Linked DNA regions of Tamandua tetradactyla. The protein of the gene in region 3 interacts with the protein of the main gene of each other region in a pairwise test. Links are inferred from orthologs where the notes say so. Each region holds a gene or a part of one and is shown on either strand. Other genes may lie near its edges.

What was found.
Region 1: the proteins of SORBS3 (region 3) and SOCS7 interact in binary tests that used the Homo sapiens proteins (3 or more experiments, as listed by UniProt). The link is inferred for Tamandua tetradactyla from reciprocal best matches to the Homo sapiens genes SORBS3 and SOCS7.
Region 2: the proteins of SORBS3 (region 3) and VARS2 interact in binary tests that used the Homo sapiens proteins (3 or more experiments, as listed by UniProt). The two-hybrid records come from large-scale screens. The link is inferred for Tamandua tetradactyla from reciprocal best matches to the Homo sapiens genes SORBS3 and VARS2.
Region 4: the proteins of SORBS3 (region 3) and EIF3H interact in binary tests that used the Homo sapiens proteins (3 or more experiments, as listed by UniProt). The two-hybrid records come from large-scale screens. The link is inferred for Tamandua tetradactyla from reciprocal best matches to the Homo sapiens genes SORBS3 and EIF3H.

Annotation. Positions count from the first base shown.
Region 1 is NC_135332.1:28,756,610-28,763,666, reverse strand, and holds the start of SOCS7 (suppressor of cytokine signaling 7), read left to right. Parts: upstream 1-4,045; 5' UTR 4,046-4,228; coding exon 4,229-5,205; intron 5,206-7,057. UniProt on the Homo sapiens protein: Substrate-recognition component of a cullin-5-RING E3 ubiquitin-protein ligase complex (ECS complex, also named CRL5 complex), which mediates the ubiquitination and subsequent proteasomal degradation of target proteins, such as DAB1 and IRS1.
Region 2 is NC_135331.1:85,843,612-85,851,414, forward strand, and holds the start of VARS2 (valine--tRNA ligase, mitochondrial), read left to right. Parts: upstream 1-4,789; 5' UTR 4,790-4,883; intron 4,884-4,938; exon of another isoform or gene 4,939-4,953; intron 4,954-5,062; exon of another isoform or gene 5,063-5,156; intron 5,157-5,317; 5' UTR 5,318-5,344; coding exon 5,345-5,545; intron 5,546-5,661; coding exon 5,662-5,743; intron 5,744-5,857; coding exon 5,858-5,958; intron 5,959-6,268; coding exon 6,269-6,390; intron 6,391-6,501; coding exon 6,502-6,568; intron 6,569-6,691; coding exon 6,692-6,789; intron 6,790-7,416; coding exon 7,417-7,498; intron 7,499-7,637; coding exon 7,638-7,757; intron 7,758-7,803. Other genes in the region: GTF2H4 (general transcription factor IIH subunit 4), read left to right, coding at 447-578, 836-932, 1,025-1,113, 1,331-1,442, 1,569-1,637, 1,847-1,930, 2,185-2,317, 2,533-2,663 and 3 more. UniProt on the Homo sapiens protein: Catalyzes the attachment of valine to tRNA(Val) in a two-step reaction: valine is first activated by ATP to form Val-AMP and then transferred to the acceptor end of tRNA(Val).
Region 3 is NC_135329.1:23,326,738-23,334,625, forward strand, and holds the start of SORBS3 (vinexin), read left to right. Parts: upstream 1-4,885; 5' UTR 4,886-5,290; coding exon 5,291-5,538; intron 5,539-7,488; coding exon 7,489-7,656; intron 7,657-7,888. UniProt on the Homo sapiens protein: Vinexin alpha isoform promotes up-regulation of actin stress fiber formation. Vinexin beta isoform plays a role in cell spreading and enhances the activation of JNK/SAPK in response to EGF stimulation by using its third SH3 domain.
Region 4 is NC_135332.1:161,029,712-161,037,149, reverse strand, and holds the start of EIF3H (eukaryotic translation initiation factor 3 subunit H), read left to right. Parts: upstream 1-4,430; 5' UTR 4,431-4,480; coding exon 4,481-4,612; intron 4,613-7,438.

The DNA.
Region 1 (7,057 bases), on a different chromosome or scaffold from region 3:
TGCAGAATCCCAAGTGTGAGTGTAAACAGTGGGGGTGGGAGAGAAAGGGGCTTTGTCCACACGGTTTTCTGTGATGTCAAAACTAGAAGGGCCCACATCTTTCTCTAACTGAAAAGGAAACTAAAACCCTGAGAGGAAAGTGACATTCCCAAGGCCACAAAGCCATTTAGTGGTACGGTTGGGATCAGACACTAGTATCCCACACCCACACCTCTCTTCTGACTGCTCCAATTCTGGGTGCCAACAGAGAGAGGGAGAAAGTAGAGCAAGTGGCCCATTCCGCTCTCTTATTATTACTGGTTACCAGTAGTTTGGAGTCAACAAAATATACTGGGTAAAGACATAATAATAAGGTAACACGATTATTTTTCCAGAAGATTTCCATAATAATAACTAACATTTGTATAGTGCTTTACCACTTAACAAGCACCTTTACATATAATTTTCCATTTAATCCCCACAACCAAAGGAGAGATTATTGACCCATTCATTTTTCATATGAAACGTGGGCTCAAAGATGTGTCATTAATTTGGTCTTGGTCATATAGCCAGGAAATGGTATGATTAGAACTCAGACCAGATCACAAGCTCTAGAATAAGGCAGCCATTCATTCCTCACTGCACCTCAAAGCCTAGCCCATTGAGTATTGATGGTGCTCAATTAATATTGAAACACTAAATGAACCTCAGGACTTCTTTAGATTCTTTAAGTTGTTCTCCACAGACCTCTCTAACTAGGGTTGTACCACTGCAGGGACCACGTTTATAGCCCAAGTGAAAGAGATAATGTAGACACAAAACCCACTGAGCAAACACACATACATCCAAGTCGTACAAACACAGAGATACACTCTCTGTACTTGGAGATTGTCTTGCAATGTTTTTTTCTACGACCTGGACCACAGGCCTAGACAATTAAGGAAATGGGGCAAGAGAGCAGCCTTGACCTGCCTTAGAAAGAAGAGCCTGCAAGTGGACTTTCCCAACTGGCCAACACTGTCTGCTTCTTTCTGGGGCCAAAAAAGTGTCTGGAACAGCAGAGGGCGCTGCAGAGCCAGTAGGCCTGGCCTTTTACAGGGAACCCTGTTCAGGGGCCAGTGAGGTTCCCAGAGAAAGCCAGGGGTCTTAGGTAGCCTTCTCTGACCTCAGGTGTTCTGTGATCCTATAGCAATTTCTATTCTTTTCTGCCATAAACCCGAATGATACCTGAAAGGTAGCTGGTGGAAGGAGGGAAAAGGATAAAATCTTGGGAGTGAGAGCTGGTTCTGAATTCCACTGCACCTTTTTGAAATGTGTGAGTCTGGGTAATTAAATCTCTGAGCTTCTGTTTCTTCACGTGTAAGAAAGGATATTCATTCCTTAGTGCAGAATTAGAGGTTAATTTATATCAGGAACTTCTTATAAGACCACTCTGTGCTTATGTATCAAGGGCTACTCTGCTCGGCATGATCTTTGGCACTGGAGATTTCATAATGGGCAAAAACCAAACAAGACCCCTGTCCTCCTGCAGCTTACAGTATGCTAGGGATGACAGGCTTTAGTCAAAAAGCCCCACAGAGAGATGATACATTACATCTGTGTAATTTAGTGCCACAAATTGGTGGTCTCACAAAGGAGCTGGAAGATGGGGAAGTGCCCAGGCAGAGAGATTTCCCTAAGGAAGGGAGGAGTGAGTTCAGTTAGAAGGGCGAGTGGGAGTTTACTAAGCAGAAAGAGGGAGAAGTCTTCTAAAGAAAAGGAACAGCTTATGTAAATGGCCATATGGGTGCAAGCTTGACACAAGGCAGGGGTGGGTGGGTTGGAGGAATGGGGGGAGGGAGGGGTCAGGGACGTGGGCTGCCGGAGAGAGAGAGGGAAAAGAAGCTTGGTGGGAGCTGTGTCAGAAAGAGGCAGGGGCCAGATCACATCTGGTCCGTAGGCCACCTTAAGGAGTTTTGTCTTCAGCTTAAGGACGATGGGAAGCCAGAAACACATTCCATTTTGAAATGGTCCTCTGGCTGCAGGGTTCACAGTGGACCCTCAAATCTAGTGGCTGCCCTTATCCTTGACCCGCTTCCCCTCGATGCACCCTCAGGTAATGAAGTTGCTAAGTTCTGCTGGTCCTTTCTCATCCCTTTCATCCCTCAGCATCTCTCTCTCTCTCTTTTTTTTTTTTTTTCACATGAGCAGGCACCAGGAATCGAACCCGGGTCCTCTGTCATGGCAGGCGAGAATTCTTGCCTGCGGAGCCACCGTGGCCCGCCCCTTCAGCATCTCTCACAGGAAGTTTGTAATGGGTTCCTAACTGGTCTCCCTGCCTCCAGTCCCACCTCCTTGGTCTTATTTGATCCTCATAACATGCCTACAAGTAAGCAAAACAGCAGTTCTTCTCCCTCTTTCACAGACCAGAAAACTGATATCTACTGGTGCTGTGGAGCTGGCTCATAGCGCCTTGTAAAAGCCAACTGTTAAATTTTCAGGAAACACAGTCACTAATGAAAACAAAAATATGCAAACTTATAAATAAATTATATTAAAAACAGAAGTCATAAAATCTCAACACTCATCACTTTCTAATTGTTTTACTATTATGTATGCTCAGGGTTATTTATATCTATTGTATCTGCATGATGGAACTATTTATGTGATAGGATGTTACTACTCATGTCTTCCTAGCTCTGAGTTCAAAATTCATGTTGAAATTAGCCAGAGTAGGAATACTTACACCATGGAAATCTGTAAATTCTACAAATCAGGGCTTTATTTATGGTTTTACTGATTGTTTAAACTTAGGCAAGTGATGGAGAAAATGTTAATTCAGATTTAAACTTAATGTGCCATGTGTAGCTGTTACATTGTGACTAGCGCAAAAACTGAGATATTTTCCTAGTATTTGAAACTGTTTTCCAATTTAGCAAATTAGTTACTCCCATCATTGACAATCCAGTTAAGTTGGTCTTTGTTTTTTACACTTTCCTCTTACATCATGTTCCAACCAAGCTCTTGAAAAGCTTCAGGTCCACGCAGCCCCAAGAACAAAGAACATATTAGGTAGAGAGTTAGGCATGGATTTTATTGGGATTTACAAGCAGAAGATCTTTCCTGGTGGCGGTTGTCCAGAAAATGGAAGTCAGTGCTCCACAAAAGGACGAGAGTGCGAAGTACAGCTTAAAAGCGTTTAGGACAAAGACATTCCATAGGGTATGAGAACTGAGTTTGAGCAGGGCCTCGTGATGCAGGGGTCTGGAAGTTTATCAACAGCCATCGGAAGGGCTTTTTAATGCTTTATGATACCATCTGTACATTAGTTTCACCCCCGAGGAGGTCTGATGACTTTTAGCTTCTGTCCTGCTCATTGCAGGCAGCTATGTGCAGTAACTTATTCTTAGTATGGAGGGGGTCCCAGCCCTGGGACTCCATATATTAACATAGACGGAATTATCAACCAACATTTATGGTGCAACTACAGTCCTTGGTCAATTGCAACCAGAGGTTGACAATCCATACAAGAATTTGGCAAAAATCAATGAAAACATCGTGACGATCAATTGCAATTTTATATTTTTATTATTTGTAAATAGTGAGCTACATATCCTTCACATCAGTAAAATGCATATGCCATCCCCATCTCTTGAGCCAGCTGTTAAACATTCAGCAACACACCACTAGGTCCAGAACACATTATTCCTGTAATCATCCAACAAATATTCACTGGCTGCCTGGGGGACACAGATTAATGATGAAATGACCGAGCCAAGGTCACACATCCCAAGCGGCATAGGCAGAGCGAGAACTAGAGGCTCTCTTCTACGACCAGACCAGGCTTCCTAGGGCCGCCTCACTTTACCGAGCGGGGTGAACAGGGCCCGGGCGCCCGGGAAGCGAAAAAGCAATGGTCGGGTCAATTGACCAACCACCAGCCGGTGAGCTAACGGCCAATTAGTGGTCCTTGGAGCGCGTAACGTCAAGCGCCGTGGAGGCCCCCGCGAGCGCGCCCTGAAAGAGAGGGGCGTGACTACAGCCTTCCGGAAATGACGCTAACCCGGGGGGCGGTCCTTGGCGGCGGCGGCGCGCGGCCTGGACTCGCGCTGGGCTCCGCGCGTCCCCCGCCCCCCTCTATGAGGCAGAGGCCGCGGCGGCCGTTCGCGCTGTCGCTCCGGGGGCCGCGGCGGGCGGGGCTCCGGCGGGGCCCGGCCTAGTCCCCACCCTAGCCCGGCTCGCAGCCGCCCTCGTTCCCTCCCTCTCCCCGATGCAGGGGGCCGAGCTACGGGATGGCGAGGCGGCGGCGGCGGCCGCTTCGTACCGCGTCCTGAGCCGCCTGCTCGGCTATGGAGAGGCGGCCCCCGAGCCAGGCCCGCCGCCGCCGCCGCCGCCCCCGGGCCATGGCCCCCCGCCGCCACCCTTCCTCGCGCGACCCGGCCCTCGGGGCTCTCGGCCGCCGCAGCTGATGGTTTTCCGCAACGTGGGTCGGCCGCCGGAGGAAGAGGACGCCGAGGCGGCCCGGGAGCCCGGACCGTCGGAACTGCTGTGCCCTCGGCATCGCTGTGCCCTGGACCCCAAGGCCCTGACGCCGGGCTTGGCGCTCGAGCGGGCCTGGGGCCCGGCGGCTGGACTAGAGGCACAGTTGGCGGCTCTGGGGCTCGGGCAGCCGGCGGGGCCGGGGGTGAAGACGGTTGGTGGGGGGTGCTGCCCGTGTCCGTGCCCCCCGCATCAGCCCCCTCCGCAACCCCAGCCGCCTGCTGCCGCCCCGCAGGCCGGGGAGGATCCCACGGAAACGAGCGACGCGCTGTTGGTCCTGGAGGGCTTGGAATCGGAGGCCGAGAGCTTGGAGACTAACAGCTGCTCAGAAGAGGAGCTCAGCAGCCCGGGACGCGGAGGAGGAGGGGGTGGCCGGTTTCTGCTGCAGCCCCCAGGCCCCGAATTACCCCCAGTGCCCTTCCCGCTGCAGGACTTGGTCCCTCCTGGGCGCTTGGGTAGAGAACAGCAGCAGCAGAAGCAGCCTCCCCCGCCCCCGCCTCCACCTGCGCCCCTCCGGCCGCTCGCTGGCCCTTCACGGAAGGGGTCCCTCAAAATCCGCCTGAGTCGCCTCTTTCGCACTAAGAGCTGCAACGGTGGCTCCGGCGGTGGAGATGGGACCGGCAAGAGGCCTTCTGAAGAGCTGGCTGCTTCAGCTGCGAGCCTGACAGACGTGGGAGGCTCTGCGGGCCGGGAGCAGGACGCGGGGAGGTGAGACCGTTTGGGGGGGGGGGGGGGCTGGATGAGAAACTTCCTTTTCTTGTGTCGTTTCCCTTTTTTTCTACTGCTAACACTTAACCCTGCCAAGTCTTAAGATGTGGTCTTCGTGAGGAGGCCTAAGGACTGAAGAGGGTGGCATTTCCCGTTAGATCCGGGCCAGAGCTAGTGGTAAATTATGGAAACAGTTTTCACCAAGAGTTCACACCCCAGGACATTTCACGACGGGTGTGCACCTCTCTAGTTTAGAGATGATTTGAACATACCCCTATGAGTTCCCTCCATCGCCATCACCCCCTTCAAGCTTTTCACATTTTCCAAGGTGTCTACCACTGCCCCTGGCAGGGCAATTGCTTGAGATGTTTGGCCTTTGGAACAAAAAGCACAGCTTGCATCTTGACCACTTTGCTTATTCTCTGTGTACCAGTATCCCACCCCTTCACACTCATCATAGAAATGATGTGGACTTTTGCATGACCTGCACTACTGAGTATTTTAACGTTTCCCGGTGTTCCCTTAAAGGTACTTGATATCTCAAGTATGTGTGCTGACTACTATCTGTGAGATTAGAAAACAGCTTTGCTCTCAAGCCTATACAAGAATTCTAAGTATGAGGTATGGGAATTGATACATAAATTCTAGGCCATTAGATGAAAATTCAAAACAGGTATCAAGTTGCCTGTTTTCCTGCATCTCTGAAGGGTGGGCTTCTCTCTTGTCATCCAGTGTTCTATCTGTAGTGTTGGTTTAGAAAGCTGTTGATTTTTTAAATTGATATTTATTATATATTCATACCATGTAATCATCCAAAGTGTACAATCAGTGGTTCCCGACACCATCATATAGCTGTGCAATTATCATCACAGTCAATTTTTGTGTGTGTGAAAAATGACATATATACAAAAAAGCAATAAATTTCAAAGCACATCACAGCACTTAGTTGTAGAACAGTTTTATTTATTTATATATATATTGTAATTTTTAATTGATATTTATTATATATTCTTGCCAAGCTGTCAATTTTTTTATCAGTGAAATGAGACTCCATTGTGGTGACTGCCATCGTGGTTTGTGCTTTTGGGTGTGTTCTTAGAAAGATTTGAAATGGTTTTGGGTGACTTTTATGATGGATTTCCGAGGCATACCAGTAACCACCAGGAAGCATGCTTATGAACAGGTAGACCAAAAAAAACTGATAACCTCACTGCACTAGAATTAGTTGGGGAACTTTTGAAAAGTTCAGTATGTCTGGGGGCCTAAGAATTTGAGCTTTAAAAAAGCTTCCCAGTTAATCCTGAGCCATTACTACCTGGACTGGGAACCACTAATCTAGGAACTTCTCTTTTCAAGGGAACTTGGGTCCTGCAAGAGGAAAGTGTGGGGCTGATTTGACTTTGCTGCTACTTCTGAACACCTGTTTCATGGGCTCATCTTGGAGACTGGGTGAAACTCATACTCCCTAGAGAAATCAATAGGTTGATGTGTGTTGTCCCTTGAGGTAGGCAGATATTTATACATTTGACTCCTAGTGAACTCATGCTGAGAGCTCAGGACTTGAAAAGTGTATGGCTGTTGAAACAGCTTTTTTTGTGTGGTAAACACTGCATTTGATGCTCCACTTATCATATGGATGAAATTTTCATCAGATGGAGGGAAGGCCAGATTGAAGCTGTAGATAATGACATAGGATAGATTGCTAATTTTCTTGTGGTTTGTCTTGGTCTTTGTTCCATATTGACTAGGATTTAGTCTAGTATTCCAAAGACACTAAATATGAGGTGTGGCGTGAAATTAGCTGCTATGTCTAATAGATTAGGAAGAAGAAAAAGCATATTACATTATACTT
Region 2 (7,803 bases), on a different chromosome or scaffold from region 3:
GAGCTCCCATTTATTTATTTCCTTCTTCAGTGTTCTTGCTTTAGGTTTAAGGTCCATAAAACCACCTCCAGTTGTAAGATTCATAAGATATCTCCCAACATTTTCCTCTATCTAGATACACATTTCTTAACAGCTGTATTTCCCGAACTGCTGTTTCTTGGGTCACTTCCAGGAAATATTAATGGGTATACTACAAAATTCATAATTAAGTAATTTTAAGAAACTCTGCCTACTGTATTTTTCTTCTTGGCAATAGAGCAAGTCATGACATGTATAGACTTTTAAGTCTTATAGTAAAGGAAATTTATAGTAAAGAAATTTGTCTTAAGAAGACACTGATTTCATTCTGTGTTCCAGGAATCATCCATTGAGAAAAGGCAGAAATGGATGCCTGTGTAGGCCTCCTTCTTGTTCTCCAGAAACCCCACTCTCTGCTTCTGTTCCAGGGCACAGGAGGAAAGTACAAGTCTGCTGAGTGGACTCCGTATCTGGCACACCCAGCTTCTCCCTGGTGGTCTCCAGGGCCTCATCCTCAATCCCGTCTTCCGCCAGAATCTCCGCATTGCCCTTCTGGGTGGGTATGTCACTTCCATCTCTTCCCAAGCTAGGACAGGATCTCTTCCCAAACTGCAAATTAAACAGCTGGATGGGGAGCTTCTGAGAGACCTCCCTAGAACCTTGTGGGCTTCACCTTTGGGAGCTCCTTTAGGAATAAGTTGGACCAGGGTGTAGCTGCGTGGTGAAGGAAATATCCCTCATTCATGGCCCATTGGGATGAGGGTGAAATGTGGGCAGGGGCGGCAGGTTCCTTACTCTTGGCATATCCTGGCCATAGGGGGAAGGCCTGGTCTGATGACACAAGTCAGCTAGGACCAGACAAGCACGCCCGGGATGTTCCCTCACTGGACAAGTATGCTGAGGAACGATGGGAGGTGAGGACTTGAGACTCTGTGTCTCTGCTTGTGTTCCCACTTACCCATGGCCCTTAGAGGTGTTAGTCTCTCCATTCTCTTCTGTTATTCAGGTGGTGCTGCACTTCATGGTGGGCTCCCCCAGTGCAGCCGTTAGCCAGGACTTGGCTCAGCTCCTCAGCCAGGCTGGACTCATGAAGAGGTGAGGAAGCCAGAGGTACAACAGCTCCCTGCTTTACCATCTCCTTGAGTCCCTGCTAAACTGGATACCTGGAGTGGGTCAGGATTGGAGCAGGTCAAATGAAAAAGGAAAGCTGAGTAGAGTAAAACCAGAGGTACCAAGAAAAAATGTGAGGGAGCAAGTGGGAATGGTGGCCTTTCTCTGTATATCTCCACCATTGTCCCTCTGTGTGTCCTAGTACTGAACCTGGAGAGCCACCCTGCATAACTTCTGCTGGGTTCCAATTCCTACTTCTAGACACTCCTGCTCAGCTCTGGTACTTTATGCTGCAGTATCTGCAGACAGCCCAGGTGAGGAGGCCAGGGGCTGCTTACCAGTATGCTATGCTGTTCCCAGGAACATTTTGCTGAGAGATCCCTGCCCTGATTTTCTTTTCTTTGTCCTCCCGTTCCCCTCCCTGCCACTTTCCTTTCTAGAGCCGGGGCATGGATCTAGTGGAGATTCTCTCCTTCCTCTTTCAGCTCAGCTTCTCTACTTTGGGCAAGGTAAGCAAGCAACTGAAGCTGAGAGCTTGGTAGGCAGATTGAGGGATAGGGAAATGGGAAGGGGGGAACGCAGTTGTGGGGCAATAGAGCAAGAAAATAAGAACAAATACCGACTGATCAGAGATGGGGCAAGTGGAAACAATCTGTGGGGTCAGGAGAGGAAGGATGGGATATGTTTTGGACACCAGCTGACCAAATTTCTTCCCCAGGATTACTCTGTGGAAGGTATGAGTGATTCACTGTTGAATTTTCTGCAACATCTTCGTGAGTTTGGGCTTGTTTTCCAGAGGAAGGTATGAGCATCTAAATGCATGGCTTCTAGGGAACAGTATGGTGGTGTGTTATCTTGACCTTTAAAAAGGAGGGTTGGGGATGGCTCAGGAGGCAGGAGCAGGAAGTAGTTTCCAGGACTGAAAACTTGGTTCCCCAGGGGAGAGAAGTTGGGGGTTGAGATTGGACTGTGAGGGATCTGATGTCTCAGGCAGGAAGATGTAGGGCAGTGACACCTGAGCAAGGGCCCTCTGCCCTGCCCTTCTGTCCTTTCCAGAGGAAATCCCGGCGTTACTATCCCACGCGCCTGGCCATCAATCTCTCGTCAGGTGTCTCTGGGGCTGGGGGCACTGTGCATCAACCAGGCTTCATTGTCGTAGAGACCAATTACCGACTGTATGCCTACACAGGTGAGGACAGACAGAGGACTCCTGGGAGAGCAGGCTGGGAAAAGCAGGCTTGGGGTGGGTGGTTGGCCGGAGGGGATGCCAATTTCTGTTTCCATTCACCTAGCACCTGGCAGTTTACAGAGTACTCTGACATTTCTCATTACACTTGAAGGTAGGGTTTGAGGGTGTCTGCATGTGGGGCTGTCCCTCCTCATTCTCTCTCATCCCTGGATCAGAGTCGGAGCTGCAGATTGCCCTCATTGCCCTCTTCTCTGAGATGCTCTATCGCTTCCCCAACATGGTGGTGGCACAGGTGACCCGGGAGAGTGTACAGCAGGCCATTGCCAGTGGCATCACAGCCCAGCAGGTACCCCACACCTGGGGGAGGTGGGGACCAGATGATGACCTGCACTTGGGTTGTGGGGAACAGGGTGATCACATTATAGAAAGCTGGCACCAGGTCTTTTACTGTAGGTGGTGGGTGGCTTGCCTTTGTTTGAACACTGGGCATATGAGATAGAGCTCTAGGTGTAAGAATAGGAAGACCCTTGAGAAGAAAAAGCATGGAAAGAGGAGGTATAACCCTGGATGTTATGTCTCAGTGTCACCACTTCCTACTGTGAAGACTGAGCCTAATTGTTTCACTTCTGTGAGCCTCAGTTTCCTCATCTGGAAAACAGAAATAATGACAGTCCTCACCTCATAGGGTTGTTGGAAGGAGTCAATGAGAGAATAAAGGTAAAGCATTTAGCTCAGAGCCTGCCATGCAGTAAGCGCTAAAAAAAAAAAAAAAAAAAGAAAAAAGCCAGTATTTTAAAGAAAGAAAAACAAAAGAACACTGGAAAAGGCAAATGTGCCAGAGAGGGAATAGCAGACATGACCAGTGGGAGCAGCAAGAACAGCAGCTGTACAGGAATGGGTCAGGTTGGCAACAGGCACAAGTATTGAGGGATTAGCTGTGAGTAACTTGATGTTCCTGTGACATTAGGTCAGGGAGCTTTCCTGCCCTCTTACCTTAGCTCTGATGCTATTCTTCTCTATTTTCCTAGATCATCCACTTCCTAAGAACAAGGGCCCACCCAGTGATGCTCAAACAGGTACACTTAAGATACTGGAGGCTGGCAACCTCAGGCACCTGGTGCTGAGATGATAGAAAAGAGAGAGGGGCATCCAAGCCTGGGGAATGAGAGAAGTGCTGGGGTTGCCTGGGGGCCCTATTCCTGAATCCTTACAGCCATAGTTCACCCCTGCAGACACCTGTGCTGCCCCCCACCATCACAGACCAGATTCGGCTATGGGAGCTGGAAAGGGACAGGCTCCGGTTCACAGAGGGTGAGTGGCTTCCATGGCTCAGTCTTGGTTATGGCCAGAGAAATGACAATTCAGTTTTGACTAACTGAAAAAAATTCTTCATGCATTTAATTTTTTTGTTAACTGCCATGAGCTGGGAGAGAAAAGCTGGCAAGACACTTCTATTTTGGGGTGGGTGGTTGGCAGCAAATAATGTGGCACAAACCGGCACAAGTTGAAACTAGCTAGAAGAGGAAAAGTGAGAGTGATAAGCTACAATAATTTTTGTTTTGTTTTTGTGCTATATTGCCTTCCTGAATATGGCTGGGTCACACTAGTTTTTTAATATTTTTATTGACAAAACACCATACAAACGCGAACATTCTTAACATATGAACATTCCTTACTTGGTGTACTATCAGTGACTCACAATATCACACAGTTGTATATTCACCACTATGATCATTTCTTAGAACATTTGCATCACTCCAGAAAAAAATAAAAAGAAAAAACTCATACCCCTTCCCCCTTCCCACTCATTGACCACTAGTATTTCCATCTACCCACACGCTAGTTTTAAGATGAGCCAGGAAGAGACAAGCATAGAGGAATAGTTTTAAATTGCAGCGGATTGCAATCCCAGACTTGTGGCCTGAGGCTGCCAGGAAGGGGCTGGGAAGACTCCTTGGGTCGCTAGCGCAGAGCCTCACGTCTGATTTTCTCCTTCCCTCCCGACCTGTGCCCCCAGGCGTGCTGTATAACCAGTTCCTGTCGCAAGTGGATTTTGAACTGCTGCTGGCTCACGCGCGGGAGCTCGGCGTGCTCGTATTCGAGAATTCGGCTAAGCGGCTCATGGTAGTGACCCCGGCCGGGCACAGCGACGTCAAGCGCTTCTGGAAGCGGCAAAAGCACAACTCCTGACCGGGACCGGGCGGGACCGGCAGCTCCTGAGTGCGGGGACCGGAACTCGGGCGAGCAGAGCCGGTCACGGCCTTAGGACTCAGGGTTGTTGTTATTGTTTGTTGGCTCTTTCTTTTTTTTTTTCGATATACACGTTGGTATTTTTCTTGTTTATTAATAAAATTGTGAAAAGGAAATGAGCGGCGCCGGCTCCTCCCCGCATCTACTGGCGCCGGTCGGCGTGGACTGCCATTGGGCCGCGGGAGGGGAGGGGAGGGACGAGGCCGGCTGCTGCGCATGCGCGGGATTGAGGACCCACCTCGAGGCCCCGCGCTGATCGCTGGTCACGTTACCGCGCGCGGCGGGCACCGGCGCTGTCAGGGCCTACGGCCGGCGGGTGAGAGTGCGCCGGGGCGGCTTACGGGAGTGGGGGGCGCTGCGGGGATCGGGGCCGCGCGGTGGAATGGGTGAGAAGGCTCGGGGCCTGGCGTACGAAGATCGCACTGACCCTGGCGGGACTCCTCGCCGGCTCTCGGGCATGCCAATGTCAGTCATATCTGAATTCCGCCCCCTCAGGTGTTGTCGGTCACCTCCGTGTCGTAGATGCATGGGTTGAGGGCCAAAGTCTCCGACTCTGCACCAAAGCATACCTCGTCTCCATGATTTCTGGGTACTGTCCCTGTCAATACTAAACTCCTAGAGGAAGGGTTTGTGTAGGAGAGAACGGATATTTAGAGTAACCACAGGGCAGTGCTTCTAGGAAGAAGGGCTAAAGAGGAGAGAATAGGAAGAGACAACATGTCTTCCTGATGTACATTCTGTCTGAAACAGATCTTGACCCGTTTCCAAGCACTCCTGATGCCTCATTTGTCTCTGGCTTCTTTTCGACCACCACTTTGGGGGCTGAGGCCTTCGTGGGGCCTCTCCAGGTCCCATGCCCTTTCAACCCAGCCGGAGCCCCATGGATCCCCCATCTCCCGGAGGAACCATGAAGCAAAGCAGAAGCGCCTGCGAGAGAAGCAGGCGGCCCTGGAGGCTGGGATAATCAGGAAGAGCAAGGTTAGGGGTCAGACAGCTTGCAATGTGGGTCTCTGAGAAGACTTGGGGAGGCTGGGGGAGATGGCTGCGATATGCTGGGAATTGCAAACCCTCCTTCAGTCTCTCTCTTTCCCCAGTCTCCTGCAGAATCTAGTAAGGCCTGGACTCCTAAGGAGAGAATATTGTATGAAATCCCTACAGAACGCGGTGAAAGGAAAGGTAACTGGGGAACTTTGAAGGCTTTTTCATTTACACACTTGTTGCTATTTGTCTGTTTAAATGCAGCATGGGATAAGGTTTGGTAATTAGTAGAGCTCTTCTCTGTCTCCACAGATGTATCGGGGTCGCTGCCTCCTGCGTATAGCCCCCAATATGTTGAGGCTGCCTGGTACCCCTGGTGGGTACGAGAGGGCTTCTTCAAACCAGAATATCAGGTCAGTACGTGGGAGGGAGGGGTTCTAAACTGTTCCCAGGACAGAGTGGCCTGTAAGGTTGGTGGGCACAGCTGACTTTCAGAATCTGGACCTTACAGCCACATTGCAGAGCTTGGTCCAGAAAAGACGAGCTTATCTTCTGCCCTTAGCATCTCCGAAGCTTTCTCTTGGCAGTTTCAACCCCCCACCCCCACCACTGCCCCCATTTGCAGGACAGTTCTTCCCTTAGTTCTTTCTGCCTTGAGGACGCCAGGGGGTGCTGTTCCCTCAGGTAACATCCAATCCTTTCCTGCCCTTTGACTTCTTTTAGGCCCGGCTGCCACAGGCCACAGGAGAGACCTTTTCAATGTGTATCCCACCCCCTAATGTCACCGGCTCCCTGCACATCGGCCATGCACTCACAGTGGCCATACAGGATGTCCTTGTGCGCTGGTGAGAGGGGCTGGGGGCTTCTTGAGTTCTTGGAAGGCAAGTAGAAAGTAGGAAAAAAGTGAGGATAAACATGTAAGCTTGGGCACTCATGTGGGGGGGCTTCTGTTGCAGGCATCGGATGCGTGGGGATCAGGTGCTATGGGTCCCTGGTTCAGATCACGCGGGCATCGCCACGCAAGTATGTCTTTTGCTACCTTTTTCTTTTCTTGTGTAAAAGAGATTTCCTTCTTTTCTTGTGTAAAAAAGAGTTTCTCCAAAGCAACCTGGTTCTCTGTTCATTTGCCCCCTAATTCTAATGTAGGCTGTGGTTGAGAAACAGCTGTGGAAGGAGCAGGGGATGAGGAGATACGATCTGAGCCGGGAAGACTTCCTTAGGGAGGTGTGGAAGTGGAAGGAAGAGTAAGTGGGATGGGAAGGAATGGAGGGGGCTGAGATATTTGAGGCTTGGGTCCTCAGCTACTTTCTTTCCTAACTTGTAGTCTGTGGCTCTCCCAACCCCAGTCCTAACATCCCTTAGAAACATAAGGTCTGAGGCCCCTTAGCACTTGCTGAGATTCTCCAGCCATTATGTATGTGTGTTTATGTACCTATATATGTGTGTGCATATATATACAATATATAAATATATATATACATATGCTTTTAAATTTTTTTCTTTTTCTTCTACTTATCCCATTTTACCTTGTGTAGATTTTACCAACCCTCCCACTTACCCATTCCCACTTTCCATCTGTTGAAATCACTTTTATTCTTCCAAGTCTGTTACCAAATGCCATCTTTTCTATGAAACTTCCTTAGATTTCACACATATTGGCTGCCCCCTCCTCTGTTATTGTAGAACTTTATGCTTGTTTTAGTATCATAGAAGGCTCCTTACTAGGTCTTGTGTTTGTCTCCAATAGCTTCTAGAGGCTGGGTCCATGCCAGACCTACTTTTTATTTCCCTCCAGCCCCCAGCATTGCTGGGCCTGGTACGTAGCAGCTGCTTGGGACGTGTTTGCTGACAAGTATTCTCTCTGGGAACAGGAAAGGTGGAGAGATCTGTGAGCAGCTCCGAGCTCTGGGGGCCTCCTTGGACTGGGACCGAGAGTGTTTTACCATGGATGCTGTAAGCATTTGATGCTTTGGTCCCTGCGGGTGTTGGGGTGTGGGTGGCGTTTAGAGATTTCTGCAGGCGAGAGTGTGGGCAAGCCTGTGGGTGAAGGGCTGTGAAGGGGCTGTGGATGTGAACGCTTAGGTCATTCTAGGGCTCCTCAGTGGCTGTGACTGAAGCTTTTGTGCGACTCTACGAGGCAGGGCTGTTGTACCGGAACCGGCAGCTCGTCAACTGGTCATGCTCTTTAAGATCAGCCATCTCGGATATTGAGGTGAGGTGGGGGAAGAGGAGAAACAGGTCTGTGGGAACTCTGAGGC
Region 3 (7,888 bases):
AGCTCCAGTTTCCTACAGTTATTTGTAGTTATAACCATGGATTTCACTTTGTGGGACACTCCACCAATATCTTTTCTGAAATATGCCATAAGGAGGAGTAAAGGGCAACTTGGGAAACTCCAGAAATAGATCAAGGAGGGTTTGGATTACACGGAGAACATTCTGAAGACTTGTATTGCCACAGTGCCTTTGCAGCATCACTATGTTCAGAACACTCATAGGAAAGCCTTAAGAAAGAGCAAATGTGTCTTGAGGAAGAAATCTGTACAGTAGAAAAACAGGGTTTTACTTAAGTGAAAGCAGAGACCAATGCTAACAATAGAGCTTTGTGCCATTGACAGAGTGTGAAAGAGAGAACCTATATTACATTGAGACTTGTGACATGGCCTGCCAACAGAAGTGAATGAGGTCAGTGTTCGCTGCTTTCATCTACACAGCCACAAAGGTAAAGGTAACACTGCAGAGTATATTCCCTCCAAGGAGACCTTGACCTCATGTCTCAGCAAGCTTGACAAGACTCACTAAATACCACCTTTGTCTGAGACAGTTATGACCAGTCTTAGCATCTTCTCCTCTTCTATAACCCCATGACAAATCTAGGTGGCTTAAAATCAAGAAACAAGGACATGCATGTGGACCATCCCTCCAAGCAGCTCTAAAGTAGGGCCATTCACATTGCCCTCCTATATGCCCTTACCAAAATTCCCTTGACATAGCTGTCCTCAAAATAACTTTTTTTTTTTGCATGTTGAAGTGAAGGAGGTAATGTACCATAGATTTTTAAGTTTGAATAATAAAGATGTGGAGTTTTGTCAAAGTATCTTTTTAAGATGCCATCATGAACATCTCACTTGTCCTTTTTCAGTGTACTATAACCAACAGCTATTTTTCCTAATAGAAATGTCAGCAGTCATTTCCAATGAAAAGATCCTGGTTTTGCATCCTATTTGAGGTGGTCAGACACATGATACTAGCTGGCAGTGTAATTATTTTTAGGTTCTTATGAATTACGGAATATATACTTATTCTTAGAGATTACATGCTTTTTTCATGCTTTCAGTTATGTTAAAGAGATGGTGGAAATGTTATTTTGGCAGAAATCATTTAATTAGTCTTTCTTGAGAATAAGAAATGAATTTGTTCGAACTTTCTTACTGTAAATTGGAAATCATCTTAAAGATAAAAAAAAAAGAAAACTCTCTTAAAATTAAACTATACCTTCATTGACTCCCTGTTTTCTTTATTTCCTGATGAAGGCACTTATATTTGGCTCTTACCTATTTAATAATTCTAGAAGTCGAGGGAAAGCTTGGTGTTTAGTGTCTGGTCTGGTCGCTGACAATGCCAAGGAATTCCCCTCTTAAGAGATGGAATTCCATCATAATAAAAAATACCTATTTCTTTCTCTCTTATCCTTTATTTTTAAATTGGCTTTGATAACTGTAGAGGTATTTCTATTTCTCTTCACTCAGAATTCATTCCGGGGCCCTTGGCTGCCTTCCTGGCATTTTGCCATAAGTAACTCATGCTCAAATCCAAGCTCCTTCTGTGGCTTCTCCAGCAGAGGCCGCAACTTTAAAAAAGGGAAGAAAGGCTCCCAGAAGACTGTTTTTACGAAACTGAAAAAAAAGTCTTTTATTGTAGTAAGTTAATTACTCTGCCTGTGATCCTAATAATAGACATGGATGAATTCCCACTCAGGAGAAGCTGAAGAAGGCAGAGAGGAGTTGAGTGTTAAGTCAGACTCCAAGAAAAAGAAGCATCAGAACCAGCCCTGTGATTCATCTGAAAAGTAGAAACATCAGGTGCTGGGGAGTCAAGAGGAAAAATAACCTCCTCTGGGCAAGTGGGTAATTGAGGATAGGGAAAGTGCCTAGCAGCCTGAAAGGAAAATGCATCAGTGAGGAAGTTCTACACGTTATGGCAGAGGAGGTAGAAAGTCTAAATCCAGAAAGTCAAACCCAAGTTCAGAATTTTTTACTTTAAACATACCACATTGAGGGCCACAGTGCAGTTCACAGCCCATAAAACAAGTCCAGATTTCTAATCTCAGATAAGCTGGGTATACATTTTGAGTTCTTTGTTATTCCAATAGCATCATGCCTTAGCGTTATCCTTATATTTCAGCTAAACCTTCAGCAAAATAGGAATATTATATGTGCCCTTATTTCCAGAATTGACAACCAGGTCCTAAAACTTTTTTAAAAGCCTGGTAATTAAGGATCCAAATGCAAAATTGTATTTAATTCTTGCTATATCAAGATCTAATCCCCATTTCTTGGGCTGCTAAATGTAATTACATGGTTTTATATTTTTTATCAAAATTTCCAGATTTTAGAAAGAATATCTATTTAATTCTGATGCAGGGAATTAAGAATTTAACAGTAAATTAGATGGTCTTTTTTTTAATGTTGATGCAGTTAAGGAGAAGGTTCATCATAAAATCGGAGGTGGAAAGACAAGGTTATTCTTTGTTCAGAGGCCAGAATTCTACCTCAAGTGTACACTGGCCAACAAATCATCCCTCTTATCTTACTTAGCTTAGCTTAACTGAGCTAGGAAAGATGGTTGATGCATACCTAATTTTCCAACTCCTGGTTCTGTGCTCTTCTTTGTGGTTGAGCTGACTTGGCTGGGTTTTTCCTCTGAGGTCATCACTCATTTATCCTTCCCCTATAAAATCTAGTCTCTAAAGAGCTGACAGACACTTCTCTTTCCATCTTTCCTGAGAACTAAAAGAAGTTCACACAGCTCAGTTCTTCTCAAAGACACCTCATCTGTGCATTGTGCTTGTTTGCCCAACTGGAAAAGAGGAAGAGAGAGAATAATTGTTATGTCAGTGTAAAACCTTCCTTGAGGATAGACTAGATAAACTGGGCAAAAGGCTGAGTTCTCACGCAGCCTCTAGGATTTGGATTTTGTTGGTTCCAAGAACCTTGAATAGATGCCCGTTCCATCATGTGTATGCTATGGAAAGATTTGTACAAAGGCAGGTCTGAAAGCCTCATTCTAATCCTTTGGGGATCCCCTCAGTCGTTCTGGCTTCCAGGGCCCACCATTGACCATACCTGACCTGTATTAATCTCATATATTTCTCACTCTCAAATATCCCTCATTTTACAGTGACTACAACAAAAATCTTGGATTTCAGATGAACAAGACATGGGAATAGGCCATCTACATCATGCCATTGTCCATTTAGGAGGGCCTTTTAAGCCCCAAAGAGGGTCATTTACTCTTTCCTCCTCTGCTTGCTCTTGTTCCCATGAGTGGCTGGTACAGATAAGGGCAATCAGTAGAACCTGGCTGGGAACACATGCAGGTGCTGGAATCAGGAGAGGACCCAGGAGAAAGGGATGGCGTTCAGGGGATGAAACAGCCCAGATTTTTGCTGGTGTGTGTATGACTGGTCTTCAGTTCCTCACTGCTGTGTCACTGTCAGCTTCCCCAATAGAGAAGTCCAAACTCGTCGAAAGGGACAGTGCTTTCTTTCCTAATCCATTCTGATCTGCTTGCTCAGTTCCCTTGGCAGGAAGAAAACACTCCTGAGAGTACAAATAAAAAACCAGCTCAAAGTCTACCTGAAAATTCATCCCTGAGAAAAAAAGGAACAATAGATGCCTTTCCTTTATCTAATGTAGGGGGACTGAGGCACAAAGCTGAGGAGGCACTTAGCTGTTTAGGGTAGATCACAGCAGTGTGTCTGGTGTGAATACCAAACTCCCAGGCCCAGATAAAGACACTCCTCAAGAAGGAGTCCATATTTATGTCTTCTGGGATCCCTGGCTTCCCTTTCCCCACTTAAGAAATGTAACAGTTCTCTGCTGGACCCTATTTACCTAGCCTTCCTTTATAATAAAAAACTACTGAAGTCCACTTTCCGTTCAACCTTCCTGTTGGTGACAGGTTAGTTTTCAGTGTGACCTGCATTCCTGCATGAAAAGCCACCTTCTTCCCTTTTGTGTGAAGTCCCACATTAATTGGTAGTCTCTTGACTAATCATCCCTTAGGGTGGTTGGAATGGACAGACCTCTGCTGACATGGGTGCTATTAAGGGATAATCCACAGAACTAAAGGTGGTAGCCTCCAGGAGTGGAGAGGGGGGCCTAAGATACTGGTGATTGGGATCTGACAGCTAGGAAAAACAGCAATTATGTAACTATGTTTACTATGGCTGAGGTGGCTCTGAGAAGGCAGAGGCAGTCCCCTGACAAAAGATAGTGCCAGTGCTCCTTTTATCTACCGTACTGCTCCTTTTATCTACATTATGACAGACGAGTAAAACCTATGGAATAAAAGTAAATAATAGGGGGAACAAATGTTAAAATAAATTTAGTAGATTGAAGTGCTTGTGATCAGTGAAAGGGAGGGGTAAGGGGTATGGTATGTATGAAATTTTTTCTGTTTTCTCTTTATTTCTTTTTCTGAATTGAGGCAAATGTTCTAAGAAATGATCATGATGATGAATATACAACTGTGTGATGATATTGTGAATTACTGATTATTTATGTAGAATGGAATGATCACATGTTAAGAATGTTTGTTTGTTATGTTTTTTAAAAATTAAAAAAAAAAAAGTGGCAGAGGTGGGGAGGAGGCAAGCTCAGGGAAGGAGGTCCCTGCATAAGGGAGTCATGCAGAGGACACACTGCTTTTGGATTAAAGGAATCTGTTCTGCTGTTGACAACAGCCATGTTATCTAGGACAGTCTCCTCTATCCTCAGCCTCTCCCTAAAAAGATGCCAACTGGGAAGTCAGGCCAGCAACAAATAGCACGAAGACAGAGGGAGGAGTTGAGAAATCAGACACCTGGTTTTGGGCTGTCTCTGAACCTTGCTACTCTTTTTTCCCCCTTCATCTCCCACTTTTCAAAGAGTAGGGATTCTTTTCCCTAAACATAGGCAGAACAGGAGGAAGTAGTCAAGGTTCCTTGTTTTTTTTCCTGCCCTATGCGCTCACCAATCCCTCATCCTCTCTTCTATGAGGTCAGATGGGCACCACGGAACACAACAGACAGTCCCCATTATAGGCCCTCCTTTGTCCAAGCAGATAGTCTAAGGTGCTGGGAAGGAAAATGATTTTAGCTGGTGCTAGGGCAAAGCATGTTCTGACCTGAGAGAAAAAGCCATAAGCCCGGCAGAATCAGCACCTAAGAAGACAGGCAGAAGTCAGAGCAGCTTAGGGAAAACCTCAGGTCTCCATCAGGGCCTGCCCCTCCTCCTCCTACGAAGCCGTATACTCCATATTTCCATAGCGATGAAACTGGTAGGCAGTTCCCAGCTACTTGCTGATGGCTGCCACCTCCCTTTGTGACAAACAGGAAGTTGGGACCTTTGTCAGCTCAGCTGCAACCTCTAGGTTAAATATTTATCTTGGAGCCCAGGTCAGAGCCCTAGAGAATAAGGGAAGCTTGCTGCTAGTGAGAAAGGGTATGGCCAGGATTCCTGGAGTCATAGGATCTTCAGCTTCACTGTCTTTGGAAAACAAGGAGGAAAATGAAAGTGATGTGGCCTTTCCTAGTGCCAAGGATCCTAACAGGTGGGAAAAATTGGTGACTAGAGAAATGGGCACATACATTGTCCCTAGGGAGAGAAAAAATGGTCCCTAGGGGTGGGTAAGTACTCAAGCTTTAGGAAAGGGAGGGATGCTCCACTTCCTGCCCTTAAGTTTCCTGAGCTCCTACCTTCCTTTCTGTAGCTGTCTTCTATTATGAGTGGCTCTCAAATCCATCCCCTTCCCTTCATCTTTCCTAAAGAATCATACATTCTTACAAGGAAACAGTTTCCTTCAGCCCCCTGCTCAGTGCAATAATTGCCTTGACAAAAACAATCCACAATTGGCAGACTTGGAACACTTACAGTTATTAAAGAACACTATCTTGGAAGGCTTGGATTGCTTTCCCTATAATTTGTACCCAATGGTCCCACTTCTGTTAGCAGAAGTTGCACTCCCACATAGTGTACTTCCATAGAATGCAAACATTGCTGCAGTCCCACAGACATTGGAAGTCAGCCTGCACGCCCTGTCTCTCAAGCTTCTCCTTAGCCTAAATATCTCCTTTCATATTTGATCCTGTGTCAAGCCCATCCATTGCAACCAGAGATAATTCTTTTAAATGAAGTGAGAAAAGATAAGTTAAAAGCTAATAACATCAGCGGTGGTAGGGATTTAAAATAGCTTCATTCCCTCTCCCTACTCCCTTCTGAACTTTTGAGTTGAATAATATACTTGAAAAGCCTTCTGAGGACACTGATCTTAAAACCCAGTAGGCATGCAATAAATGTCTCCTTACTTTGACACTTTATAACTATCATCCCAAAGAGGGTCTGAAGTTGCTGTTTAGTTAGTTTAGGGCTTAGGATTCCAGAAACAAGCCAAAGGCTAGAAGTATTCCAGTCTGTTTCCATTATCAATGAACACTCATTTAGCACTCTCACTTTCGGCAACAGGCCCTGTGCAGACACAGGACTTGGAGGAAAGGTGGGCAGAGAAGGGAAGGCCACTAGGGTCAGGGAGTCAATGGGCAGGGACTCTTGGAACCCTGGCCAGAGATGTGGGAACAGAGGAAAAGCAGCAAGATCAAAACAAATCCCGTGTATGGGAACAGTCAGATCCTCCAAACCTCATCCCGGCCAGAAGAGACCCCACCCTCATCCTCTTTCGGGAGGCAGCATGCCCTGTGTGCTGCTCGCCTAGGCCAATTTCCTCCAGGGGCTGTCTCCAGGGTACCTGCACGTTTGCGAGCCATGTGTGTGTGCATGTGTGGGGTTTGCACACGTCCGAACGCGCGCTTACGCAAGCACAAAATCTCTTTTTCCTAGTGGGGAGGGAGCCAGCCGGGCCTTAACTCATTCTGCTAAGGACTCCCTGTGGGGCGCCCTCCGCTTATCTCGGTCCCAGCCAGTCTGCATCTCCTGCGGGTCTCCGGCCTCTCGAAGTTGCCGCCTCCCTATCAGTCGTTGGCCGGCCCGGGCTCTGGAGCCCACCGCTCGCTGTCGTTAATCACTTCTGCCCTCTGTCCTGGCTCCGCAGTGCAGCAGCTCCCTTCCCACACTCTGGAAATGTCGCTGGAAACTCTGAGTGGCTCTGGCTGGCTCTCCCGTGTCCCTCCCGACGCCAGCCTTACGGTGGGGGGCCGGGGGGAAGGCAGCTGGGAAACCAGAGCGGGCTCCCCAGGGACCCTCGGGCGGCGCCGCCTCCCGGCCGGCCCGACCTCCCCGGCAAGGGGCCACCAGCGTCCCCGCGGCGCGCCCGGCCCGGCCAGTGCCCCGACGGAGGGCACTCGCACGCCCTCAGCGGCGCGTCCCGGAGCCTCCGCCCCGCGAGGCGGGAGAGAGGGAGTAGCCGGGCCCTCCACCCCACCCCTCGGCAAACAGTTCAGATTGGAAACACTAACTCCGCCGGCCGCCCTCCCTCTTCCCCACTCACGTTCCCTTCCTCCCCGCGCGCGCGCGCTCACTGTCGCCCTCTCCCTCCGGGGGCGCCCAGCCCCCCGCAGCCCCAGCCCGGCCGGGTCACGAGGGCAGGGAGCGCACCTCGGACGTCTCCCCGGCCGCTCGCCGAGGGCCCACAGCGGCCGCGCCTGGCAGGAGCCGGGCCGAGATGCTCCTGCCCGCCCAGGCGTCCTCAGACCCCGCCACCTGTCTGCCCGGGAAGGTAGGTGCCACGGAGGGGAGGGCGGGCTAGGAGGCGGAGGCCGCAGGCGGGGAGGGACTGGGAGGGAACTCTGACCTGTGCCAAACCCGAAGAGGAGGCCGCCGAGCCGCTCCTCGTGGGGTCCCCAGAGGTTCCGCGTCCCAAACTCTGGAAACTTGGGTGGAAAGAGGCCATTAGCTCCCACCCACCCACCCACCGCCCCAAGCCGGAAAAGGAGAAATTTGAGAAAACC
Region 4 (7,438 bases), on a different chromosome or scaffold from region 3:
AGGGATCTTGAATAGGGTGTAAGATCTTGTTGGTTTGTCCAGGTTAGTGTGATGCCTCAATATACCCCAGAGTAATCAGAGGAGTGAATAAAGAAGTATTTGGAAGGTCTTCTTGGAAGACTGGGGAGAAAGGACTTCCCCATTTGGAGAATTACTGATATTCTCACAAGCTGTGAGGACAACCAAATCAATAGGCTGAGCCCTCCTTCTTGGGGTTTGCCCCTATGAAACTTATTCTGGCAAAGGATAGGCTAAGCCTACTTAAATTTAGGCCTAAGGGTCATCCCCAGGGAACCTCTTTTGTTGCTCAGATGTGGTCTGTTTCTCTAAGCCAATGTGGCAGGTGAACTCACTGCCCTCCCCGCTATGTGGACATGACTCCCAGGGGTGTAAATCTCTCTGGAAACATGGAACAGAAATCCCAGGATGAGTCAGGAGCCAGGAGAAAGCCTTCTTGACCAAAAGGGGGAAGAGAAAAATGAGATCGCAAAGTTTCAGTGCCTGAGAGATTTCAAATAGAGTGGAAAGGACATCCTGGAGGTTATTCTTATGCATTGTATAGATATTCCTTTTTAGTTTATGGTGTATTAGAGTGGCTAGAGGGAAGAATCTGTTGAGCTGTGTAGTAGCCTTGATTCATGAAGATGATTGTAAAATGAAATAGTGACTATGATTGCGAAAATCTTGTATCTGTTGCTCCTTTTATCCAGGATATGGACAGATGAGTAAAAAAAAAAAACATGGATAAAAATTAATAAATAATTGGGTGATAAGGGGTAAAAAGTTGTTTAGATTGAAATACTAGTGGTCAATGAAAGTGAGGGGTAAGGGGTATGGAATGTATGAGTTTTTCCTTTTCATTTCTTTTTCTAGAGTGATGCAAATGTTCTAAAAATGATGATTGTGATGAATACAAAACTATGTGATGATATTGTGAGCATTGATTGTACACTATGTATGGACTGTATATGCATGAAAATTTGTCAATAAAAATAACAAAAAAAGATTCCCATGCCCTCCTGTCAATTCATCAATAAACATATTTTTAAGATAGAGCTTTTAGGATTTAGTGATGGATCAGCAGTGGGGTTTAAGGGAAACAGAGGAATCAAGGATGATGCCAAAGTTTTGGAACACTGGTGCTCTGGGAACACTGGGGAACACTGGTGCTCTTCAATATTTAAAGACTGGTGAGGGGTAGAGGAATCAGCCATGGTGCCTACTAAGAAAGGGGCAGACACTGATCCAGGAATGAAATGTCATTACTTCTTCTAGGTGTTTTCTGGCTAGGATGTTTATATTGCTTTCCTAATTCAAATTCTACTTTTCAGGCATTTTTTCCCTTAATTCCTTTATATCTAGTTGAAGCTTGCATATGAGTAACCTCCAGAATAACCTCCTGGCTCTCTCTGAAATCTTTTAGCCACTGATACCTTGTTACATTTCTTTCCCCCCTTTTGGTAAGGTATTCATTGTTGATCCCATTGTGCCAGGGTCATGACTCATCCTTGGGAGTCATATCCCACATTGCTAGGGAGGCTTACATCCGTGGACATCATGTTCCACATAGGAATAAGGGTATTGGTATTTTGGTGTATTAAAGCTTCTGGAACGCAATATACCAAAAACGGATCAGTTTTAACAAAGGGGATTTATTAAGCTACAGGTTTTACAGTTCTAAGGCCTTAAACATGTCCAAACCAAGGCATCCAAAGAAAGATACCTTGACTCCGAAGAAAGGCCAGTGTCTATCACATGGGAAGGCACGTGGCTGGTATCTGCTTGTCCTTGTTCCTGGTTCCGTTGCCTGTAGCTTCTGATTCCAGTGGCTTTCTCTTTAGGCGTCTGTGGGTCCTGACTTAGCTGCTCTGGAGAAGAACTCTGGGTTTCATCTCTTACCTTAGTGTGTCATGGGAAGGCACATGGTGACATCTGTTGGGCTCTGGTTCCCGTATAGCTTCTGTCAGCTCTCTCAGCTCCTTGAAACTCCTGAGGCTTCTGCATTTCCAAACCTTTGTGTCTAAATTTTCTCCTAAATGTTTCCATGTGTCTGCTTTTTAATGTCTCCAGTAAAGTAATCAAGATCCACCACATCTCCACCTAATGAAAAAGTCACATCCACAATGGAGTATGTTACATCTGCATGGAAATAATCTAATTAAATGGTCATACACAATTGGATATGTCACATCTCCATGGAAACAATCTAATAAAAAAATCTCACCCTACAATATTGAATCAGGATTAGAAGAGCAAGGATTTTTGGGGGGTACATAACAGTTTCAAATCAGCACAGAGGGCAATGATTTTACTTGGGGTGGGGAGGGAGAGAGAGAGGGAGAGAGGCTACATCTGAGCAACAAAAGAGTTCTCTGGAAGCAACTCAGGGACCTTGATTTCTTTTTTATTTTTCTTTGCACTCTGAGGAGTACTATTTCAGAAGGGCTGCAATCACCACATTGGGTCAGTTTAAAATAACCTATGGGGCTGGCCATGGTGGTGCAGCAGGCCCAGTTCTTGCCTGCCATGCCCGAGATCCAGGTTCATTTCCCAGTGCCTGCCCATGCAAAAAAACCCAAACCAAACCAAACGAAACAAAAAAACAAACAAAAAACCAAGAACCTATGTGAAGTATTTAGCACATATGACTTCAAATCTTTTTTTTAATTAAAAAATCTTAGTGGGATATTTCTAATGACAATACATTGAAAAGAAAATTTAAAATTTACTCTGTGGTTTTATTGTTAGTGATAACATTGGTACAGTAATTTTGTAAAATAATTGTTTGTAAATCATAGGATAAAGCAAATACATTTATTATTGTTCAGAAGTAGCTTAGGTATTCTATGATCCGCATTATTCCATCTACCCAGTGGCATACACAAACTTCCAATTCTGTTTTTCCCTTCCTTCCCTCCCCTCCCTTCCCTTCTCTTCCTTCTCCTTTCCCTGACCGTCTATGCCTTCTTTATGATTTTTCCTTCGATTTCTGTTTACTAGTGTAATTTACCATGATCAATTTTCAATACTTATACATTTATGGAACACTAGAAAATACCAAATATTAACTTTTCATTTTGTATCAGGAATGTGTCCTGGAAACCCTCATCAGGTGTAACTATTTTTGTTCCCATATACAACACTCCCTCTCCTACCATGTGGTGGTTTGGAGCAGTATGTATCCCAGAAAAACATGTTCTTCAATCTAATCCATTCCTGCGTGTGTAAACCCATTTTAAGTAGGAATTTTTTATGAGGGTACTTCAGTTAAGGTATAACCCACCTCATTCAGGATAGGTGTTAATCCTCTTACTGGTGTCTTTTATAAATAGCATGAATAAGGAGAAAAAGGCTGTGGAACCAAGAAGCTGAAAGTAAGGAAATCTGGAGGAAAAGGGAGAGACCAACAGAAACTGCCATGAGCCTTGCCATTTGTCAGAGGAGCCAAGGAACTCTGGCAGCTGGTCTTCCAGAAGAACGTATGGCTTGATGATGCCTGGATTTGGACATTCCCATGGGTCTCAAACAGAAAGCTAATATATTTCAAGTGTTTAAAGCCAGCCCATTTCATGGTATCTCCTTTGAGCAGCCTGTGAAACTAAAACACCCCAACAACAAAGACAATAAAATATTTCAGGGCAGGAATCATCATCCTTCATTGACATATCTACTTACTTCATTCAGTTCTAAATACATACAATTGAATGAAGAACATTCTCCACTGAATGAGAAAGAAGGCTTTCTAAATTGTCAAGTACTCTTTTAAAGAATTAAGATGCTTATTTCAGAGCAGTGTGTCATAAGTCAGGTGTTTTTAGGAAATACGTTTTGGATCATCGTTTAACACTTTACATAATAACTGCTCTTTTACTATATTCACGTTAATATCTATATGAAACTAGTAGCTGCGAAGGGCTATTAGTTCTGGTAATTCTGACAGAAGTCCCATTTTTAATCCATTTTCGTACAAGCTAAGTGGTTGGAGACTACTAACTAAAATTATATAAGACAAATTATGCCATACCGGCTCTTCCCTAACTAACAGAATGATGTCGAGCAAATCATGTCTATGTTTCCTAATATGTATAATGCGAGCTGATATAGCGCTTATAGTTTGCAGGATTGGAAACGGGTATTAAAAAAATAGAAGTGAAAGCACTTATACTGTATGAGACGTTACAGAAATGCGAGCATAATGTTATGATCATCTGTCTAATGGAGAATGCCTAAGCATAAAATAGAAAACGTTAAGAAACATCTATATTTGTATTAAAACACAGCGACAGAACGGCAAACGCAGAATGCGCGTGCGCAAAAGATCCTGCCCGGGAAAGAGTCTGGAAAGAGGAGGTAGGCGGGACCCACGCTCTACTATCCTCCTAACTCCGCCCCGCGAACAGGGGTTTGCGCGCAACGTCACGCGAGCTCTACTTCCGCTTCCGAATAGTCAGTTTCTCTTTTTTCCTGTCTGGCTGGGAACATGGCGTCCCGCAAGGAAGGTACCAGCTCCGCTGCCTCTTCTTCCACCACCAACACCGGTGCAGCCGGGAAAGGAAAAGGCAAAGGCGGCTCCGGAGACTGGGCTGTGAAGCAAGTACAGATCGATGGCCTGGTGAGTTGGGTACCATCTCTCTAGGTCCACGTGGGGAACGTCGTTCCTAACTCCATCCCGCCAGACACGTTTCTCTGCCGCCGCCTCTCTAGGTTTGATGTGAATGGAACAAGGTTTTTTATTAGCACCCGCTCCGTGATCTCACTTTTTGTTGGGAGAGATGCGTTAACCTTCTTTGCTTTTTGACAGGCGAATTGAAGGTTGAGAAATGGGGCCGAGGCTAGGGGTGTATGTGACAGATCCTTGGAGTCTTTTTTTGAGATAGCTGGGAGAAGAGACTTGGAGAAGGACTGTTGTGGGAGACAGGCAGGTGATGGATGTGTCGAGAATGATCTAGGATCCTGATATCGGGCTGCTGAAAGGGCAGAGTAAGGGAACCTTTCATTGCTTTCCTGCTGGGACATGACATCTGTAACTTCTTAAGTGGAGATTTACTTTGTAGCTACTCTTGTCTTTGGTTCAGCGCTTTTCCCGAAAACCTGCATAATTGGAATAAACTTTTATGAAGAACTTATTCTCAAGAACATAAAAGACATCTAAGAGAAGTACACGTATTTAGTGGTTAAAGTTCGTGAACTAGAACATCTAAGGAAATCCTTAATAAGGAAATGGACTAAACAGGGAAGAGGCAAATCTAAAATGATAAGAAATTTAATTTTTATTGCTTCTAAGCAAAATACATACTTGCAGCGATCTAGCTTTTAAAGCATTTTGCTTTGAGAGCCTTTCTGCTTCTCTTAATCTTTATGTTTTCTAGTGCAGACCTTAGACATTGTAGTAAAGAAGTAGCTTTAAATTCATTTGAAAATTTTATTTTACTGGGCTTTGTAAGTGGAAGTGAATAATTTTCGGTCCCCCACATAGTTGAATCTTTGAGTTAAACTATTTAAACTTTTTAATATTATTAGTTAAATTGTGAATTCACAGAACAATCATGAATAAAATACAGGATTCCCATCAACTACCTTACCACCAACACCTTTCATTGGTGTGGAACATTTGTTATAATTAATGATAGCACATTTCTACAATTGTACTGTTAAAAGTCCATGGTTTAACTTAGGATTCATTGTTTGAGTAGTGTAAATTGCATGGAATTTGTTTAAAGTTTGTTTTGTTATGATATATACAATCTAGGAATTTCCCCTTTTAATCATATTCAGATATATATTTCAGTGCTGTTAATTTTGCATGCATACATGTTTTGCTACCATCATCACTATCCATTACCAAAACATTTCTGTTTTTCCAAATAGGAACCCTGTACATTGTAAACCTTAATTTCCCATTCCCTATCCCCAACCAGCCCCTGGTATCTTATATTCTAGATTCTGACTCTATGAGTTAGTTTATTCTAATTGTCTCAAAACAGCAAGATCCTTTAATATTTGTCCTTCAGTTTCTGGCTTATTTCCACTCAACATGATATCTTCAAGGTCATCCATGTTGTCCCATCTATCAGGACTTCATTCCTTTTTATGGCTGAGCAATATTCCATTGTACGTTTATGGCACATTTATTTATCCATTTATTGGTTGATGGACATGGGTTGCTTCCATCTTTTGACAGTTATTAATAATGCTGTTACGGATATCAGTGTGAAAATATCTGAGTCTGTGATTTCAATTCTTTGGGGTATATATCTAGTAGTGGGATTGCCAGGTAATGTGGTACTTCCTATACTTAGCTTTCTGAGAAACTGCCAAACTGTCTTACATAACAATTGTACCATTTTACATTGCCATCAGCAATGAATGAGTTTTCCTAGTTCTTTGCGTTCTCTCCAACACTTGTTATTTTCAGCTTTTTAAAAAAAATAGCAGCCATTCTAATGGAGATGAAATGATATCTCATTGGGGTTTTAATTTGTTTCCCTGATGGTTAGTGTGTTAGTTTGTTAAATGCTGCTGGAATGCGATATACCAGAAATGGAACGGCTTTTAAAAAGAGAATTTATTAAGTTACAGGTTTACAGTTTTAAGGCCATAAAAATGTCCAAACTAAGGTATCCAGAGACAGATGCCTTGACTCAAGAAAGGTGGATGTCTGTCACATGGGAAGACATATGGCTGGCATCTCCTGGTCCTTGTTCCCAGTTCTCTTGCTTCTAGCTTCTGATGCCAGTGGTTTCCCCATAAGCATTTTTGGGCCTTCACTTATCTCCTCTGGGAAACAACTCAGGGTTCTGGCTTGTTTCTCATGGGAAGGCATATGGCAATTTCTGCTGGGTTTTGCCTGTGTCTAAATGTCTGCTCTCTCTGTTGGCAATCCATAGATTTCCAAATGTCCATGTCTGTGTTGGCTCTGAAACAGTTGTTCTCCTACTGTCTGCATCTGAAGTTTCTCCAAAATGTTTCCCTTTTCAAGGGAATCTATTAAACTAATCAAGACCAACGTTGAGTGGGCAGAGTCACATCTCCTAATAAAGATCACACCCACAGTTGGGTGTGTCACATCTCCATGGAAACAGTGCACAGTTTCCACCCTACAATATTGAATCAGGATTAAAGGACATGGCTTTTCTGGGGTGCACTGCTTTTTCAAACCAGCACAGTGAGTGATATTGACCAACTATTCATATACTTTCTGGCTATTTGCATATCTTTGGAGCAAGCTCGGTTCAACTCTTTTGACTTTTTTTTTTCTTCCTATAGGCAACACATGGCCTTTAGACCTAAAGAAACTTATATATATTACAAATTGCCCTCTGCTTTTCCATATTAACCAAGATTGCAACTGACAAACCACTGTATTTTATTAAGTACTTAAAACAGCTTAACTCATGATCCCCCCACTTAGAGGTGAAAAAAAGAAACTTAATTTCTG